Linked DNA regions of Macaca fascicularis. The protein of the gene in region 2 interacts with the protein of the main gene of each other region in a pairwise test. Links are inferred from orthologs where the notes say so. Each region holds a gene or a part of one and is shown on either strand. Other genes may lie near its edges.

Region 1 (6,614 bases), on a different chromosome or scaffold from region 2:
GTTTCTGATTGGTTAAGCTTAAGTTTTGTTTTACTGTTGTCTTACTGTTTACATTGAATTCTGGTTTGCTTACATACAAGCTCCAGCTACAGAGACAGATAATATCAGGCTCATGGCCTTCTTATTTGCTTTGACATAGTAAAGTGTTGATAATGATTTCCAAAGGAAGCAATATCATTATTTTAAAATTAATATCCCCAGTGTATATACAGGTAAAATACTAAGATTTTAATAAACTTATTATTTATTTATTTATTTATTTATTTATTTATTTCTTGAAATGGAGTTGTTCTGTCGCCCAGGCTGGAGTGCGGTGGCATGATCCCAGCTACCTGCAGCCTTAGGCTACTGGGTTCCAGCAATTCTGCCTCAGCCTCCTGAGTAACTGGGATTACTGGTGCCAGCCACCACTCCTAGCTAATTTTTTGTATTTTTAGTAGAAATGGGGTTTCGCTATGTTTGCCAGTCTGGTCTTAAACTCCTAACCTTAAATGATCTGCCCAACTTGGCCTCCCCAAGTGTAGGGATTACAGGCACGAGCCACCGCGCCTTGCCAAATTATTTAATATTTATTTATTTATTGAGACAGGGTCTCACTCTGTTGCCCAGGCTGTAGTGGCATGGTCACAGTTCACTGCAGCCTCCCCAGGCTTAGGCAATCCTCCCACCTCAGTTTCCCAAGTAGCTAGGACTACAGGTGTGTACCACCACACTGGGTTAATTTTTCTATTTTTCATAGAGACAGGGTTTCACCATGTCGCCCAGACTGATTTTGAACTCCTGTACTCAAGCAGTCCAGCCACCTTGGCCTCCCAAAGTGCTGGGCATTGTGAACTCCAACGCCCAGCGTATGTACTTATTTTCAGATACTTCTAAACCATTTGTGTTCAACTTCTGTTCTTGCCCCATAGTCACCTTGAGACTCATCACTCAGCCAACTCCAAAAGCATTGCTGATTACTGTGAATTTTACTAAGGTTTTCTTAAGAGGGTTTCATTGCCTCAAAATTGTTCCCGAAATATCCTGTTACCTGTCTCTACCTGATTTTCTCCTATCTTCAGGGTTCCATTTCCTGTCCTCCCGCCTGTCATTATACCTTCCATAAGCCCCTGCTTTTGTCCCAGCAATTTTCCCTGTGTCAGTTTACATGCCCCAGGAAGCAAAACAAAAATAGCAAAACAGTAATGCCTTCTTACAGCTCCTCAATCTGGAAAATGTTTTATATCAAGCTCATTTATAAATCAAGGATTGGCAATTTTAAAAATTAAAGAAAGGAGAATTCGAAAAAAAATGAATTGGTCGGGCATGGTGGCTCAAGCCTGTAATCCCAGCACTCTGGGAGGCCGAGGCGGGCGGATCACTTGAGGTCAGGAGTTCGAGACCAGCCTGGTCAACATAGTGAAACCCTGCCTCTACTGAAAATATAAAAATTAGCCGGGCGCGGTAGCACGCACCTGTAATCCCAGATATTCAGGAGGCTGAGGCAGAAGAATCGCTTGAACCCGGGAGGCGGAGGTTGCCGTGAGCCAAGATCGTGCCACTGCACTCCAGCCTGGGCGACAGAGCCAGACTCTGTCTCAAATTAAAAAAAAAAAAAAAAAAAAAAAAAAAGGACTGTCTGCCCTTCAGAGTCAGCTACCAGAAAATTCGGAGACTGGGGTTTTTAAAGAATGACTTGGCGGGTAGGGGGCCAGGGAGTGGCGAATGCTAATTTGTCAGGTGGGAGGTGAAATCTTAGGGGGTTGAAGTGGGCTCTTGCTGTCTTCTGTTTCTGAGTGGGACTGTAGAACTGGTTGAGCCAGATTATGGTCTGAGTGGCGCCAGCTCATGCATCGGAATGCGGGGTCTGAAAAGTATCTCCAGCACCAATCTTAGGTTTTACAATAGTGATGTTATCCCTGAGAGCAACTGGGGAGGTTAGGAATCTTGTAGCCTCTGGCTGCAAGACTCCTAAATCATAATTTCTAATCTTGTGGCTAATTTGTTAGTTCTACAAAGGCAGACTGATCCTCAGGCAAGAAGGGGGTTTGTTTTGGGAAAGCTTTGTAAAAATCTTTGCTTCAAAGTGAAACTACAAATTAAATTCCTCCTGTAGTTAGTTGGGTCTTCGCCTGGGAATGAACAAGTGCAGCTCGGAGGTGAGAAGCATGGAGTCATTTAGGTCAGATCCCTTTCCCAGTGGTAACTTTCTCACTGTTAGGATTTTTGCAAAGGCAGTTTCGTGAAGGTACACAGACAGGCCCTTGCTATTATCCTGGTTTTTTAGATAAGGATATCCAGGCAATGAGGAAGTTTTACTTCTGGGAACAGCCTGGATGCGAAACCTTCACACGTCAGTGTCTTTTGGACATTTTCTCGTCAGTACAACCCTGTTGAATGTTCTCACGATGGGGAGGTATGTGCTTAAAATGCGGGGAAGGTGCTTTTATTTCACCCCTGGTGAAACTAGGCGAGCTAATTTTTTTAAACATGATTTTTGGCCCCCTTGAACCGTCGGCCTGGACTACATTTCCCAGCAGGCCGTGCTCAAGACTACGGGTGCCTGCAGGAGGTCAGCGTCGTTGGCAGCGGCGCAGGCGCAGGCGCGGAGCGGGCGGCGGACGGGCGGGCGCTTCGCGGTTTGAATGGCTGCGGGCCCGGGCCCTCACCTCACCTGAGGTCCGGCTGCCCAGGGGTGCGCTATGCCGTCGGGAGGTGACCAGTCGCCGCCGCCCCCGCCTCCTCCTCCGGCGGCGGCAGCCTCGGATGAGGAGGAGGAGGACGACGGCGAGGCGGAGGACGCCGCGCCGCCTAACGAGTCGCCCACCCCTCACATCCAGCAGCGGTTCGACGAGCTGTGCAGCCGCCTCAACATGGACGAGGCGGCGCGGGCCGAGGCCTGGGACAGCTACCGCAGCATGAGCGAGAGCTACACTCTGGAGGTGCGCTCGCGGGCGGAGGGGCGCTTCCGGCCTAGTCGGCGTGAACCGGTGCCTTCCGAGCCGCGTCGCGCGCCACGAGAGACCCTCGGGCGGGTTGCGGGATCCCAGCCGGGAGAGGCGTGGGGACCCCCTCTGCGCTATTCCGAGGCACTTAGCCGCTCCGAGGGCGAACCTGCTCTCGCCGCGCTTCCCCGCGGCTTCCGAATGGGGAACGCGTTTTGCCCTAAAGTAACATAGGGAAGCTGAGATCGCGCTGGGGTCCCGATGAGGAAGATGGGTGTGTGTGGCCCATCTGACCCCCCGCCCGCCTTGTTAGTAGAATGAACTAGTGTCGTTATCAAGACCGCACGGAGAAGGGGAGGGGACTTGCCCTTATTTGCACCGCGATTAACCGGGCTGTGGCACCTGGGTCTCCAGGCGTCTCCGTCTGTTCGCTTCCCCCTGTTAACCAAATTGCCTTTGCCCAGACGTTGCTGGCGTTAGAGTCAACGAGCTGATGCGTTTTGGTCTGTGTTTACGTCTGTGTAAACAAATTAAGACTCATTTTCCCCCAGGCCACATGAAATGAGCCCTCCGCCGACCCGGATATAGATACATGCTCCCATTTGTCACTAGGCTCAGGATTGTGGCTACCTCGAGGGCTTTTTGGTCACCCCGGGCATTGCACAGGACTCCTGTTGTCGGGATCCGGGCGTGTTAGGTCGCAGCCTTCGGACTGGGCTTGTGGATGAGAAAAATGGCCATTCTAGCCAGTGACTGTTAGTTCTGTAGGCACCTCCCTTTCATGGGCCAATGGGAAGTGACACGGAAGTACGGATTGTTTATCAGCTCTTCTACTGTGTGTGTGTGGCATTTAAACCTGAGGCCATTTAATTTCTCAAGTAGTTTTATAATTACTTTGGATAAAGAGGGGGGCAAATAGGCCCAGGATGCAAAGCCTAACCAAGGTATTATTTAAATATGATGTTTTTGGCTATGTGTACTGATGAGTGAGGTTATTTTAAATTTGTATTTGCATTAATAGAATTTTGATTCAATTACGATTTCCCTCTTTGAATTGTTATATCTGCAGAAGAAAGATAGTGTATGGTGGCTTTAGAACCCGACAGACCTGGGTGACTGAACAATTTACTTAACCGCTGGAAAGTTGAGTTTTGTGATCTTTAAACTGGAGATATGTGTGTTTACCTCACAGAGCTGTTCTGAAGATTAAATAAGGCAACAATGTAGTTTCTGGCACATAAAGCACCCATATGGACGGTGCTTTCAAGTTTCCTAAGCTCTTTGTATATTTACATGATCTGGCTGAGTAAACTATGTTCCTGTCCGTCTCTCAGTGCCTTTCTGTAGTCTGGCAAAGAGAAGGACTGGTTGACTTTTTTTTTTTTTTTCTTTTTTTTGCTTTTTTTTTTTCTTTGGTAAAGGGCCTTAAAGGCTTCTAAACTAGCTTTTATTTTACCCTCAGGATGATCCTGTAAATTAGATAGAACAAGCGTTATCACCATTTAGTTGAGGTATGTCAACTCATAGTGGTTAAGTTGTATGAAGTCCAGTGATACATGAGCAAATACCACGTAAGAGCTGGTTAGTAAATTATTTTTGAAAACACATGTTTGATTACTCAATTCTTTTGATTACTGAGACTTTAGTTTCAGCTTCTTAGCCCAGTTTATTCAGTAAATGATTTACTCAGTAAAATATTCATCAAATATTTCTTGAGCACCTGTTCTCAGTGCTACACACTGTTCTCAGTGCTGGATATAGAGCATCAAACAAAGCCTAAAAATACCTGCCTTTGTGGGGCTTATAGTGAGCTACGCTGTGAGATAATGTGGGATGTCATTCTCATGGGAGTGTAAGGGGAAATAAAGCTCTTATGATATTTAATACAGAATACTGGTTATGGAAATTTAATTTGATTCATTGTATTTTCTGTGCATTTTTAACCTATAACTCATTCTTACAGTCCTCAGCCAAAAAAATGCAGCCTCTGAGACTGTTTAGTAATTTTCCCACTGTGTTACAGCTACTGTATGGCAGAGCCAGAATTTGAAACCAGATCTATTTGACCCTATAAGATATGGCCACGAGATGTTAATTTTGAGGATAACTATTTTTTAGTATTATGGAATTTTTCAACAAATATTTTTTAGGACCAAAGATAAACTAGGCAGAGTCTACTCTTTGCATAAATTGTTTAAAAGAACTTCCCGCTCCGTTTTATCATCTAAGTACGGTAAAATTCTCACAAGACTAATTCTTTTCTTCTTTTTAGGAAAGATGCAGCTGTAGACTTTCTTTTTTTGTTGTTGTTGTTTTCTCTCTGCCATCCAAGTAGTTGTGAATTTTCTAGAGCCAAAATAGAACATTATAGATTATCTTTTAAACCCTTTATTGAAGCACAGGATAATGCTATGACTGACTTAACTTTATACTTTGTAAGAGATCTTGATAGAGTAGAGAAATGCAGTAGTTATGCATCTAAATTTGCTTTTACATCATAAATCAAGAATATTATGAAACCATCTCCCAGAGACATATGTAATACATAAATCTTGGCTGTTTTTTTTGACAATAGAACATCTATGCTATTGATACATATAAGTGGGTTTGTAAGATAGTCTATGTGTAAATGTGAAAAATGAAGAATTTCCAGTTTTTCTCATTTTCATTTAGACCAGTAATGAATACAGTGAAGCCAAAGGACAGCTTCCATCCTTCCTCGCTTTTATAGGAAGAGGAAAGTTGTATCACTTCTTGAATAAAAAACGATTGTGAAGATGATCTTTTAGAAACAATGCCTTAAAAATTATTATTTTTGAATGTATCTGGTAGGGGATCCACAATAGTCTCATTTGGTTATAAAAATAAATTTTATGTATTCATGTATGTGTTTTGATTAGGTATAAAATTAGTGGCTGAATATCCATTCAAGCTTAATTTTGTATTTCTATCACTTTTCTAGATTTTGTGCAAGATTAAAAATATAAACAATAGGCCGGGCGTGGGGGCTCACGCCTGTAATCCCAGCACTTTGGGAGGCCGAGGTGGGCGGGTCATGAGGTCAGGAGATCGAGACCATCCTGGCTAACACATTGAAACCCAGTCTCTACTAAAAATACAAAAAATTAGCCGGGCATGGTGGTGGGTGCCTGTAGTCCCAGATACTTGGGAGGCTGAGGCAGGAGAATGGTGTGAACCTGGGAGGCGTAGCTTGTAGTGAGCCGAGATGGTGCCGTTGCACTCCAGCCTGGGTGACAGAGCAAGACTCCATCTCAAAAAAAATAAAAAAAACAACAACAATAATATTGTTTCCATTACTATGGCTATGTAACAAATTGCCTTAAGGCTTTGGGGCAGAAAACAATTTGTTTGGCTCACAGCTTCTGTAAGGAATTCAGGCTGGGGACAGTGTGGATGTCAAGTTTCTGCATCAAAATGACTGGTATCTCACCTGGAAGACTTGAACAACTAGGTACTGGCAGAGCTGGAGCTCATTGGGCATCTCTGTATGTTTGTTCCATGTGGTCTCACCAGCATGGTGATCCAGGGTAGCTAAATTCTTTCATGTTGGTTCAGTACTCCCAAGGTACATGTCCTAAGAGAGAGAACCAAGTGGAATCTATATTGCCTTGTATAATCTTTAGTATTACATAGTTTCACTTCCACCTCTGCTGTTGATAGAGACAGTTA
Region 2 (6,514 bases):
AATAATACCTCACAGAGTTGTGATAATTAAACTGATAATTTAAATAGTGCCGGGCAATGTAAACACATAACAAATATTGGTTGTTATCAGTGTTAGTGTTCTCATCCTGTATTTGTCAAGCGTGCCAATTCTACTACCACGATGTTTAATGTTCTTTCCTTTCCATATGTACTTAAAATATTCTAGTTCAGACCACAGACAGAGCGTCTTGCCGGGACTATTACAGCCGCTGTCTAATTGATTTCCCTGCCTCCTGTCCTTATGTCCCAATCTTGCACAATACTGTTAGATTGTCACATTATATCCAAGCTCTGAAACCCTAATTTCTTTCCTCTTGCTTTCTACATTATGTGCACACTTAGCTCGTGGCTCTCCTTCATGTTAATTCCAGCTTTCCCTTCTCCAACATAAGTACACAGTACTACGTGCCTGTCCTCAAACTGAATTCTCTCCTGATCTTGTCTGCAATGGGAAATACTTTTAATTTCACCTGAAGTGCTACTGACTATACTTTCTACTTCACTTCTCACAATAGTATTCCCCACTGGGTACTGTAATCATTTGTGTACTTATCTGCTTAGGTTTGGAACATTAGATACAAGGGATTACATCCTTTAGAGCTTCATGTTTGTGTTCTACTGTAACTCCATGCCGTGTAGTAAATGTTTTAATACTCATTGAATTGATTTTCTTTCCACTGTTATTCTTCTCTAGGAATGATCAACAGCATCAAGCAGCTGAGCTTGAATGTGAGGAAGACGTTATTCCAGATTCACCGATAACAGCCTTCTCATTTTCTGGCGTTAACCGGCTACGAAGAAAGGAGAACCCCCATGTCCGATACATAGAACAAACACATACTAAATTGGAGCACTCTGTGTGTGCAAATGGTAAGAGTTGGAGTTGTCCTTGGGAGGCCGAGATGGGTGGATCACGAGGTCAGGAGATCGAGACCATCCTGGCTAACACGGTGAAACCCCGTCTCTACTAAAAAATACAAAAAACTAGCCGGGCGAGGTGATGGGTGCCTGTAGTCCCAGCTACTCGGGAGGCTGAGGCAGGAGAATGGCGTAAACCCGGGAGGCAGAGCTTGTAGTGAGCTGAGATCCGGCCACTGCACTCCAGCCTGGGCAACAGAGCCAGACTCTGTCTCAAAAAAAAAAAAAAAAAAAAAAGAGTTGGAGTTGTATTTTCGTTCTCTGGTTTTGTAAACCAGTGTTCATCTACTAGTTTTTATGTTATTCGATCTAGTGGAAAGAAAATAGTCACTATTCCGGTATCCCATGGTACAACTATGAGTTTAACTTCTATTCATAAAGTGACCGAGGAGGCATTTTCTGCCCGTGTTATGTATAGATACATGTTGTCTATATGACATGTAAATGTACCACATTTTATAAATATAGTTAAATAGTTTCTTTTTATTTTAAAAATATTCCTATGTGTATATATCCAAGGGGGATAGAAGGAAAAAGGAAAGGAACTTAATGTTAATTTCTACCTCCTGCGTACCACGTATTATGCTGAGTGATTTGCATATATTATTGCTATGTTTTAATTCTTGTAACAGGCTTGTGAAATAACTATCAGCTCTTTTGTTTTATAGATGAGGAAAAATATGTTTAGAAAGGTTGAATAACTCACTCAAGGTCAGCTATCATGTAGATGAGTCAAAATTCAAATACAGATCATCTTAGCTTTGAACTTTTGTACTCTCCAGATCTTGCCACATGGGTACTCCTGCCATTGGAGCTGTCTGTAACTGGCTATTTTTATTTGTTGTAATTTGTAGGAGTTAGTGGTAATCAAGAGATGGTGTTATAATGTGTCCACTTTGTGACTTTTCAGTGGCATGTTTCTAATTCTAGCCTAGTTTATCATTTCTGCTAAATGCTTTAAAACTGCCTTTTCACATAGTCCCAAAATTTGTTATGTGCCGTGATACAAGTATTACTTTTAGTATTAATCTAGAGCAAACATTAAAGACTTTAATTTTTAACCTAAACTATTTGGAACAAGGAAAGCATGGGGAGCGGGGGATATATACGGATTTCTATATTTGTATAATACAAATAAATTGTTGACAGTAAATATGCCTTTAAACAAAGAAGCAGATCTTATTCTTAAATGTTGGAACACTGGCAGTTTTACCCCATTTTATAAGCCTTTGTATCACCATCTAGTGGAGAACAGAAGAACTGTTAAAAATCCTACACTCAAATAGGAGCTAAGTTAAGATGTAAAATCATAGATCTAAAATGAATATCCGTTGACCTTTTAGTTTGCTATCAGACAGGACATGAATCATTAAAGAAATCACTGCATAATTTAGATCAGGTTTAAATTCATATATAAGGATATCTAGAAAATAATTCTGTATTAGGAAAGTCTTTTGTAACCAATATAAATGCTTCTGGTTTATTTCTTCTTTGTATGACAGCAGCATATAACTATTTAGAAATTTAATTCACTTGCTTTAATCTTGTTCTGATCAGTTTTTACTTGGAATCTGAAATTTAGTTTTAAGATGTACGATAACTTTGAGCCATACAAATGATTTTAAAATAACTTTTAAGGCCGGGCGCGGTGGCTCACACCTGTAATCCAAGCACTTTGGGAGGCCAAGGTGGGCGGATCACGAGGTCAGGAGATCGAGACCATCCTGGCTAACATGGTGAAACCACGTCTCTACTAAAAATATAAAAAATTAGCTGGTCGTGGTGGCACACGCATGTAGTACCGGCTACTCGGGAGGCTGAAGCAGGAGAATCGCTGGAACCCAGGAGACGGAGGTTGCAGTGAGCTGAGATCATGCCACTGCATTCCAGCCTGTGCAACAGAGCGAGACTCCATCTCAAAATAATAATAACAATAATAATAATAATGTAATTTAAAATGCTTTAATGACTAATTAGTCCTGTTCTCTAACTTCCCTTGCTTACTTATTGTAAGGTTTATAATGCTTTTTAATATTATTCTCAAGTTACAAATAGTAAAACTGTTTTACTTTACTTTGTCCTTATTTTGGTTCTCTTTGAACTAAATCTTTAAATATTGGAGTGATTTCTGATAACACATGCTTCAGAGTTTCCTTCCTGGAAATAAAAACTCTAAAAGATCATGGAGATAAATGATATAGTATACATTAGATGCTTAATCATTTGTTTATTGATTGATTATTTCAGATAGGGTCTTACTCTATCATGCAGGATGGAGTACTGTGGTGTGATCTGTAGCTTAATGTAGCCTGGAACTTTTAGGCTCAAGAGATCCTCCTGCCTCAGCCTCCCAAGGCGCTGGGATTACAGTCATGAGCCACTGTGCCCAGCCCAGTATACCTTTTTAAATTAACCTGCTGATGTGTAACAAATAAAAAAAGAAAAGTAACACTAAAATGTTACTACTCTGGGCAGTTTGGGTCAGAAGAAGCTGTCTGTTCTAGTCCCCTCTCTCCCAATGTCTTAACTTAAACTGCTTTGTTTCTTAGTGAAATTAAAGGAGCTTACTTCTTAGAATACAATAATTAGGTCAATAAAATGGTACTTGTATTTAAATACAGATAATACATTAAAATTTTAAATATGAATAAATAAAAATAATTTGATAATACTTTTCATCATTGTTTATTATGTAATCTCTTATTTTTTTCTCCCCTTAGAATTGAGAAAAGTTTCCAAGTCTTCAACTCATCCACAACATAATCCTAATGAAAATGAAATTCTAGTAGCTGACACTTATGACCAAAGTCAACCTCCAATGGCCAGTAAGCAAGATACTGAGATTACTTTACAAGTTTAAATTGTGGTTATTGGTGGGTAAGAGTGACCCACAGTCTAACTTAGACAATATTTTAAAGGTATTTTCCGTATAATTTTGTTTATATTACTAGTTTACTATCTTTTTCATATTGGAAAGTAATGTTATCCTATTAGTTCATATAAATATCCCTAATGATATTAATATAAATTACTAATAATTTTAAGTAAAGAAGGCTTTACTGTAATTTACTTATTTGTTCAACAAATATTTAAGCATCTGTTGTATACCAGGCACTAAATAAAACAAAGCCCTTGTCCTCATGGAGCTTATGATCTAGTTGAGGGAGAAATAAAATTTATGTCAGATAGAAGCAAGTGCTCTGAAGAAAAGTAAAGCAGGGTAAGAAGGGATATTAGAAAGCCTCACTGGTAAAGTGTCGTTTGCATAAGGACTGAGGGAGGGAAGTGAGTCACGTGGCTATCTGGGAGACGGGCACCCAGGCAGAGAGATTTGCAAGCCCAGAGGCCTTGCAGTGAAGATGGCATTTGGTTTGTTTGAGGAACATTAAGGAACCCTGTGTGGCTGGAGCAGAGTGAGTGAAGGGGAGATTGGTTTGGACAAAAGGAAAAATAGAGTTACCATTTACTGAGATGGAAGAGACTGGGAGCCACAGGTGTATAGGTTGGGGCAGGGGTGAGTAGAAATTAGAAGTTTCGTTTTGGGAATATTCCATTTGAAATGCAAACTCAACATTCAGGTAGAGTTTGGATTCGTGAGTAGATGTGAGTTAGAATTTAGAGAAGTTTAGGATGGAGACACATGGAAGTTGTCAGCATGTAGATGGCATCTAAGCCATAAAACTAAATGAGATTACCAAGCAAGTGATAATAGAAGGGAATGAGAAGTCCAAGTACTGAGCCTTGAGGAACTTCATTACGTAAAGCCATGATTTTCAACTTTTCTTTTGTTGAAGAACCCCCACCCCAGCTTTTTTAGACATTTCCCCCTCCCCCCAATCCCTTCCCTACTGGAGTTTTAGTACTACAGATATACTGTATATCTGTTTAAGTGATACGTGTATGCATGTATGTCTGTGCTTTATACATAGTAAGGTTTTTTTTGCTCCCACCTGCCCCAAACCATTTTTACTCCCTTAGAGAAAAGATTGTAGCTGTTGAGGTTGTGAAAATGAGTAGGAACCAACAAAACAGAGAAGGAGCTGCCAATGAGATAGGAAAACTAAAAATGATGTCCTTTAAGCCAAGTGGAGAGAGGACGAAGGGGTGGTCAACTGTGTTTAACAATGCTAATAAGTCAAGTAAGATGAAGACTTCTTAGAATTGACCATGGGATTTGGTTGCATGGAGATCACTGAGTGTTGAACTAGTGACATGATAAAAACTGTTAAGGTGTAATATTGACCATCTGAGATCTGTCTCATGTTCAAAGGAAGCTAAGGACAGAGAAAGTGGAAAGAGCACATACAAACAAGTCTTCCAAGACTTGACAGTCAAGAGGAGGAGAGAACAGGACAGTGGCTAAAGAAGAACATGAGTCAAGGGATGATTTTTTCAAGATGGAATATTATAGCATGATTAGCACATATTTATGTTGATAGGATGATCAAGTAAAGAGGAGAAAATTAATAATTCTGGAGAAAGAGGGAACAATTGCTACATCCTTAAAAAGGTCAGAGGAGATGAGATCCAGAGCCCAGTTGTAAGGGTTGGTCAAGGTTAATCTCTTATTCATTTTATAATAGTATAAAAGTTACATTCTGAAAGCTACAAATCATTTTATATTAACATGTGTGTCTGTTTGTCTGTCCATGAGTATGTGTGCATGTGCATGGAGGCTCCGGGTCCTCGGGATATAACACTGAGGTGCTAGGGATATAACACTGAGTGCAGCAGATCCTTGCTTCTCAGCTCTCTAGAACCAATTCTCTTCTGTTGCTGCCAGGTCTTTGCTCCATTATTTGTCCTGTCTTCCTTATACAGTATCTGCAGCTTCTCTGCTGTCATTTTTAAGTATATACACATATATGTTATCTTCCATCTTTAAAAAATAACCCCACTTTTAATAATCTCCACCTTTAGCTACAGCTTCTCTTCAGAGGTGAAAAAGTATTAAAGTCTATATTCAGTATCTCTACTTTCCTAATTCGCATTCACTCCAACTCACTGTAATATGGATTCTACTCCCACCCCCACCCGCAAGAGAGGAAGAGAGAGGGAAGGGGGAGGGAAGGAGGAAAGGAGGGGAGAGAAAAGTGCTAGAGGAGCAGGGTATAGGGGAAGGGAGGGAGACTTACAGGGGTTGAAGAGAGGAGAATGCGTTCACAAACCCTTTGTTACTGCTTACACTTGAACTGCTTCTGACTGTAAATGTCATCAGTGTTGCTGTTCTCCAAAATATGTGGTACTGTGCCTGTTCTATTTCTGTCTCTCTCTTTCTCTCTTTTTTTTTTTTTTTTTTTTTTTTTTTTTGAGACCAGGTCTCTCTCTGTCACCCAGGCTGGAGTGCAGTGGCACAAACACAGCTCACTGCAGCCTCAACCTCCCAGGCTCAAGTAATCCTCCCACCTCAGCCCCCCAAGTAGCTGAGACTACAGGCACACACCACCATGTCTGGCTAATATTTGTATTTTTGTAGAACAGGGTTTCACCATGTTGCCAAGGCTGGTCTCGCTCTCCTAAGCTCAAGTGATCCACCTGCTTCGGCCTGCCAAAGTGTTGGGATTACAGGCGTGAAC
Region 3 (6,514 bases), on a different chromosome or scaffold from region 2:
GATTACAGGTGTAAGCCACCACACCCGGCCCTCAACCTTTATGTATACAGTTGTTGCTCAGTATGTGCAGGATGCTGTTTCTAGGATGCCTTGAGGATACCAAAATCTAAGATGCTCAAGTCCCTGATATAAAATGCATATAGCAGCTTTCCAGCTTGGACCCGGCAGAATGGCTCCCGCAAAGAAGGGTGGCGAGAAGAAAAAGGGCCGTTCTGCCATCGACGAGGTGGTGACCCGAGAATACACCATCAACATTCACAAGCGCATCCATGGAGGGGGCTTCCAGAAGTGTGCCCCTCGGGCACTCAAAGAGATTCGGAAATTTGCCATGAAGGAGATGGGAACTCCAGATGTGCGCATTGATACCAGGCTCAACAAAGCTGTCTGGGCCAAAGGAATAAGGAATGTCCCATACCGAATCCGTGTGCGGCTGTCCAGAAAACATAATGAGGATGAAGATTCACCAAATAAACTCTATACTTTGGTTGCCTATGTACCTGTTACCACTTTCAAAAATCTACAGACAGTCAATGTGGATGAGAACTAATTGCTGATCATCAAATACATCAAATAAAGTTATAAAATTGAAAAAATAAAATAAAATAAAATAAAATGCATATAGCCTATGTACATTGTCTTGTATACTTTTTTTTTTTTTTTCTGAGACGAAGTTTCGCTCTTGTTGCCCAGGCTGGAGTGCAATGGTGTGATCTTGGCTCACGGCAACCTCAAGTGATTCTCCTGCCTCTGCCTCCCGAGTAGCTGGGATTACAGGCATGCACCACCACACCCGGATAATATTTTGTATTTTTAGTAGAGACGGGGTTTCACCATGTTGGCCAGACTGGTCTTGAACTCCTGACCTCAGGTGATCTGCCCGCCTCAGCCTCCCAAAGTGTTGGAATTACAGGCGTGAGCCACTGCTCCTGGTCCTGTCTCATATAGTTTAGATCATCTCTAGATTAATTACAATGCCTAGTACAATGCAAATGATATGTAAATAGTCATTATACTGTATTATTTGTATTGTTATACTGTTATTTTTCTCTAAATATTTTTGATTCATAGTTGGCTGAATCCACGGATGTTTGCATCCAGCTGTTGGATACGGAGGGCTGACTTTAATCTTTCCCTGTCCTTAAGTATCCTGTGAAGTTATAAATGTGTGCCATGTCTTACACCAGCAACTGTGCCCCCTAGACCTGGGCACATGTGGCGACTGTCCATGCCTCATGTTGTTTAGGTGAGCTTGCTGTTTCTGTCCCTACTGCTGTTGGCCCAACACGGAAATATGAACTAGGTATATAATTTTCAAAAATCCAGACATTAACTTATTCGCCCCTGTAGGAGTCTTTTTTCCAGAGCTGGTAACAAGACAGCTTCCTTTGCAGCTTCTTTCACCTGGCGTCTGTTTCACAGAGGAGGGAGGTAAGTTTTATTTTCAATGGCACTAAAGATTGTTTTCCTGGGTTGTTTTCACAAACTGCACATGAACAGTGTTTCAAAAGTATTTCCTGAATTAGGTGATGTCTGCAGGGAGCCATGAATCATGCTGAAAACAGGATTGTTCAAAACTTTGCCAGGAAGTCTCTGGCAGAATTGTGTTAGCGACTGTTAGCAAACACAGCTGCTTCCTTTCTGTTCCAATCAATCAGCCCAGCCTAATTACCAAAGTACATTACCAAAGGGTGGTAAGTCCTAGATATGCTTGCTGATAACTGCCAGGTTTTAGTATATGGAGGTTAAAGTGCCTCTTCCTAACTACAATAGCAGATGAAACCGTTCCTAATAAACGTTGTTGTAGAGTTTCCTGAAACTGGACACAGAAACTAGTCTTAGGGTCCACCAGGGACAGTTCCCATGATTGCTGGCATACAACACTGTGGTAGTGACCGGAAGTAGTATCATAAATCAGTAACAAATCCAACTCTTTGATACTATCATCTTACTGCTACAGATTACTTGGGAAATATGCCAAAGAAAGAGAAAAAGCAACTGATAACGATCATATTCCAAACAATAGCAATCACCAACCTGAATTTCCACATTACCCTAGTGTTTTTGTGTCAAAGTGGTACGAATCTAAAACTCACACAGATACTTACCATCACCTTCTATAACACGATTGCAGTGGAAGCAAACATCACCAAATAGCTGAAAATACAAAAAGGTGGTCAAAGTTCAAGATGTGTTAAATATTTTAGAACACTGAACATTTAAAAATAGCTGGTTATCTAAATTGAGAATTTATCACTACTAGAGAAAATTAGTAAAAGTTCTTTGACAAGTTTTTACTTCTTACAATGAAAGTAATTCACTGTCATCAATTAAAAAGAAAAACTTTCCAGATGACAGTTTGAACACCCAAATAAGTAATGCAAAATACAGAAATCTGTGAGTCCATATGGATAAGAAACAGATAAATGAATAAACCTATAGATAGGAGAGGAGGTGGGCTGTTCCTCAGGCAGAGCCCTGAGGTGGAGACTATGGGTGGAGGATGTGGGGCTGGAGAACTGTCGTTTGCAGCTGGCACAGAGACAAGAATCATCAAGGGGTGCTAAATCTAGGGCAGGTTGATGAGGAACAGGACATTTCCATGGTCATAAAATGAATGCCCACAGATTGCTTCTTTCTTACAAAAGAGGGAAGGAAATTGTAATTCATAGTGATGTTATCGGCCAGCACCATGCCTGGGAGATCACCAGTGGCAGGAGAGGTATAAAGTGCTCCAGAGACAAGGTTCTGAGAGGATGCCTGCCACTGTTATGGGGCTGCAACCTGCTGTGTATAACCTCATCTAAGCACAGAGAAGCAGCAGGTGAACCCAAGTGGAAAGTAGTCTATTAAAAGGGGGTAGGGGCCCTCTGTACCCCTCCAAAATGTCAATGTCATCAAAAATTTGAAAAGGCTCTGGAAATATTCCAGATTTAAGAAGGCTAAAGAAACATCACAACCCCAGGCTGGGTCCAGTCTGGGAGTGGAAAAAGTGCTGTGAGGATGTTACTGACTCAAGCGACAAAATTGGAATAAATGGGTTAAAGTATGGTATCAATATTGATAACTACGATTATGTTAGAGAGTCCCATATTCTTGGGAAATATACACTGAAGTATTTAGGGGTAAAGGAGTATGATGAACTTACTGGCAAATGCTTTAGAAACGGCCATCATACTTGTATATAATATTTACGTAAGTACGTGTTTTACACAGGAAGACCGAGCGCGGGAAACGATAAAGCGAACTGTGGACTTGAATGAAAGGCATACAGGTATTCTTTGTATTTTCCATTTTATAGTTAGCTTCTGAGTCTGAAATTATTTCCCAAATACAAAGTTAAAAACAAATTTCTACTGAACAATGTACATCTTCCAAGAGATTTACTTGTAGTTAAACTACTGATAAGCTTAGGTTCATAAAAGTCTATCTGGCACCCAGTGACTAAGGTCAATACCTGGTTATAGTGGGTTTCACAATACGCCAGGCCTTTCCTCTCGTAATGGCGATGTCCAAGAAAGGGTTTCTCACACTTGGCGCACACAAAATGCTGAAAAGAAAAACTGCTATAGGTCATTTTTGAATTGCCATATTTTATATCTAATAAAGGAAACCCCGAAGTTAACCTATTTTCAGAGAAGACGAATGAAAGTTTGAGACAGTCATTTCATTTGGCCATAAGTGGCCTCATAATATAATACTTTCGCAGTTTTAATTCAGGTGTCTGTCTTTAAAGGTTACTTTAAGACATAGCCTATTACAATAGCCCAAAAAGAGAACAGAGGTGAGCATCTCAGTAGCACCTATAAAGGACGAGCTGCTGCTGGATATAGACCGTGGCACTTCCTGCTTCAAGAAGGCTTTAGGAGCAAAAGTGCACATCCTGTATCATTACTGAGACATTCACAAAAGCAGTGTACATTCTATATTCTTAACTGTCAGCAAAGTCAATTGTCTTTAAAATGTCCATGTTTAATCTTTAGACTCTCCTAATCTTGCCAGGACACCTGAATCACAGAGATTTGAAAGTACTAGTTACCCCTGAATCATGAAGATTTGAAAGTATTGGTTACACCTTAATCATGGAGATTTGAAAGAACTGGTTGCCCTTTGCCATTCAGAACTCACCTCCACATGCCACTGCTTGCCCATGGCGTTCACCACGCGCCCTTCAATGGGCCGTCGGCAAGCGCCACAGATGGGGACCCCCATTTTATCATGGCATGGCAGGCAGTACAGCTCCCCTTTCAGCTCCCGTGCATCGGCAGTCAGTTCCTTCCTGTCCATGAGAAAGACAGCCAGCTTAATACTAATACTAAGAGAGAAAAACGGCCAACCGATGGGGCTAGCACACTTTTCAGGTTTTTAAAGACATTACTATGACGATTCCTGCAAACTTCTTTTTCCCCCTTTAGAGGTGATCAGAGTAACCTGAATTAATAGGCCCGAACAGGTTTCAGACTCCTACCAAAAAATCTGTATCTTAAAAGGATAAGATGCAAGACTAGGTCAGATACACACCAACACACCAGGCATATTCATCATTTCCTTCTTATATTATCACATTACATTTTAGTCCATTTGCCTTCCTTTAAAAGTTACAGGGAATAATCACAGTGCTGAGGGTAGACTCAGTAATACTACCTGCTATGGTGTGACTGTGCCCTCCAAAGTTCATGATTCCCAGTGCAGGTGTTGGGAAGTAAGACCTCTAAGGGTTGATTACATCATGAAGGCTCTGACCTCACGGATGGATTAATGCTGTTATTGAGGGGGTGGGTTCCTTATAAAAGGACGAGTTCAGCCTCCTTCCTTCTCTTCCTTCCCCCCTCTTCTCTCCCCCACCATGTGATGCCCTCTGCTATGTTTTGATGCAGAAGGTCCTCACCAGATGCCAGCCCCTTGATCTTGGACTTTCCAGCCTCCAGAACCATGAGCCAAATACATTTCTGCTGGTTACAAATTACCCAGTTTGTGGTATTCTGTTATAAGCGCATACAATAGACTAAGACATGACCTTTCCAAGCAAACTGAGAAGTTGGGAGACTAGTTCCATTTACTAACATATTTAAATTGTCACAAGCTGTTGAAAAGAGTTATAGGTTAACAGGTTTATTTTCATAAACAATAAAATTCCCAGAATTTCCTTCTCCAAATACTCAAATTAAATATTATTTTCAGTCTCCTGCATCAATAAACATTTGGTCAGAGATGGTCCCAATTAGTCAAATGGATTTGTTCGGATTTCACCCCTTTTATGTAATTCTCTAGGAGAGATGCTAATGAAAAGTGGACAGAGGAGAATCCCCCAAGAGGAAGGATAGGTAAGAAAATGAAGTAAGGCACAAACTGATAATTCATTCATAAAAGATGAGATGGCTGAACTTATACGACCAAACTGTTTTCTTTTTTTTCACTTTTTTTTAATGAGACGGAGTCTTGCTCTGTCATGCAGGCTGAGTGCAGTGGTGCGATCTTGGCTCACGGCAAGCTCCGCCTCCCGGGTTCACACCATTCTCCTGCCCCAGCCTCCCGAGTAGCTGGGACTACAGGTGCCTGCCACCATGCCCGGCTAATTTTTGTATTTTTAGTAGAGATAGGGTTTCACTGTGCTAGCCAGGATGGTCTTGATCTCCTGACCTCGTGATCTACCTGCCTCGGCCTCCCAAAGTGCTGGGATTACAGGTGTGAGCCACCACGCCTGGCCAGTTATTGCTAATTTTCTCAGGCACAATAAGAGTATTGTGGTTCTGACCAGGTGCAGTGGCTCATGCCTATAATCCCAGCACTTTGGGAGGCTGAGATGGGTGCACTGCTTGAGCCCAGGAGTTTGAGACCAGTCTGGGCAACACAGCAAGACTCCATCTCTACAAAAAATTAAAAAAGGGTGGCGTGTGCCTGTGGTCCCAGCTATTCTGGAGGCTGAGGGGGGAGGATTGCTTGAGCCCAGGAGGATGTGGCTGCAGTGAGCTATGACTGCCCACTGCACTTCAGCCTGGGCAATAGAGCGAGACCCTGTCTCAAGAGAAAAATAAAAAAAATTAAAAATAGTATCGTGGTTCCATAGGAAAATGCCCTTATTCTCAGGAGATATATACTGAGAGTCATGAGAAATTTTAGAGGTATGTGTATACATGCACACGCACACACATACACAGGAGGGTGAAACGAGAATGTACTGTATACACACAAGCCTGGCAAAATGTTAACTGGTGAAACAAAATTAAGGGTATACAGGTTTCATTATATCATTCTCTTAACTCTTCTATAGTTTAACATTTTCTAGACTAAAAATTGGAGAAAAACAATTTGGTTTGCTAGAGTAACAGAACTATAGATAAATGTAGTCTTTCATTCCCACTGCTTGTGTAATAAAAAAGAAACAATTCCAGTACCCGCAGTTGGCACAGTTGAAATGGTCTGGATGGTAGGGGTCGTTCTTGAATATCAGAGGCTGCTCGTCGATGATAGCATGGCATTTCTGGCAGATATATTTCCCAAGGCCTCTCGCTTTCTC

What was found.
Region 1: the proteins of RBBP8 (region 2) and RBL2 interact in binary tests that used the Homo sapiens proteins (3 or more experiments, as listed by UniProt). The link is inferred for Macaca fascicularis from reciprocal best matches to the Homo sapiens genes RBBP8 and RBL2.
Region 3: the proteins of RBBP8 (region 2) and LIMS1 interact in a two-hybrid assay, tested with the Homo sapiens proteins (2 studies listed by BioGRID and IntAct). The two-hybrid records come from large-scale screens. The link is inferred for Macaca fascicularis from reciprocal best matches to the Homo sapiens genes RBBP8 and LIMS1.

Annotation. Positions count from the first base shown.
Region 1 is NC_088394.1:49,421,051-49,427,664, forward strand, and holds the start of RBL2 (retinoblastoma-like protein 2), read left to right. Parts: upstream 1-2,586; 5' UTR 2,587-2,681; coding exon 2,682-2,921; intron 2,922-3,740; exon of another isoform or gene 3,741-3,850; coding exon of another isoform or gene 3,851-3,868; intron 3,869-6,614. UniProt on the Homo sapiens protein: Key regulator of entry into cell division. Directly involved in heterochromatin formation by maintaining overall chromatin structure and, in particular, that of constitutive heterochromatin by stabilizing histone methylation.
Region 2 is NC_088392.1:66,778,060-66,784,573, reverse strand, and holds part of RBBP8 (DNA endonuclease RBBP8), read left to right. Parts: intron 1-714; coding exon 715-890; intron 891-3,658; coding exon 3,659-3,763; intron 3,764-6,514. UniProt on the Homo sapiens protein: Endonuclease that cooperates with the MRE11-RAD50-NBN (MRN) complex in DNA-end resection, the first step of double-strand break (DSB) repair through the homologous recombination (HR) pathway.
Region 3 is NC_088387.1:16,159,199-16,165,712, reverse strand, and holds part of LIMS1 (LIM and senescent cell antigen-like-containing domain protein 1), read right to left. Parts: coding exon 6,393-6,514; intron 4,277-6,392; coding exon 4,126-4,276; intron 3,548-4,125; coding exon 3,455-3,547; intron 2,155-3,454; coding exon 2,106-2,154; intron 609-2,105; exon of another isoform or gene 548-608; coding exon of another isoform or gene 170-547; exon of another isoform or gene 146-169; intron 1-145. Other genes in the region: large ribosomal subunit protein eL31-like, read left to right, coding at 170-547. UniProt on the Homo sapiens protein: Within the IPP (ILK-PINCH-PARVIN) complex, binds to F-actin, promoting F-actin bundling, a process required to generate force for actin cytoskeleton reorganization and subsequent dynamic cell adhesion events such as cell spreading and migration.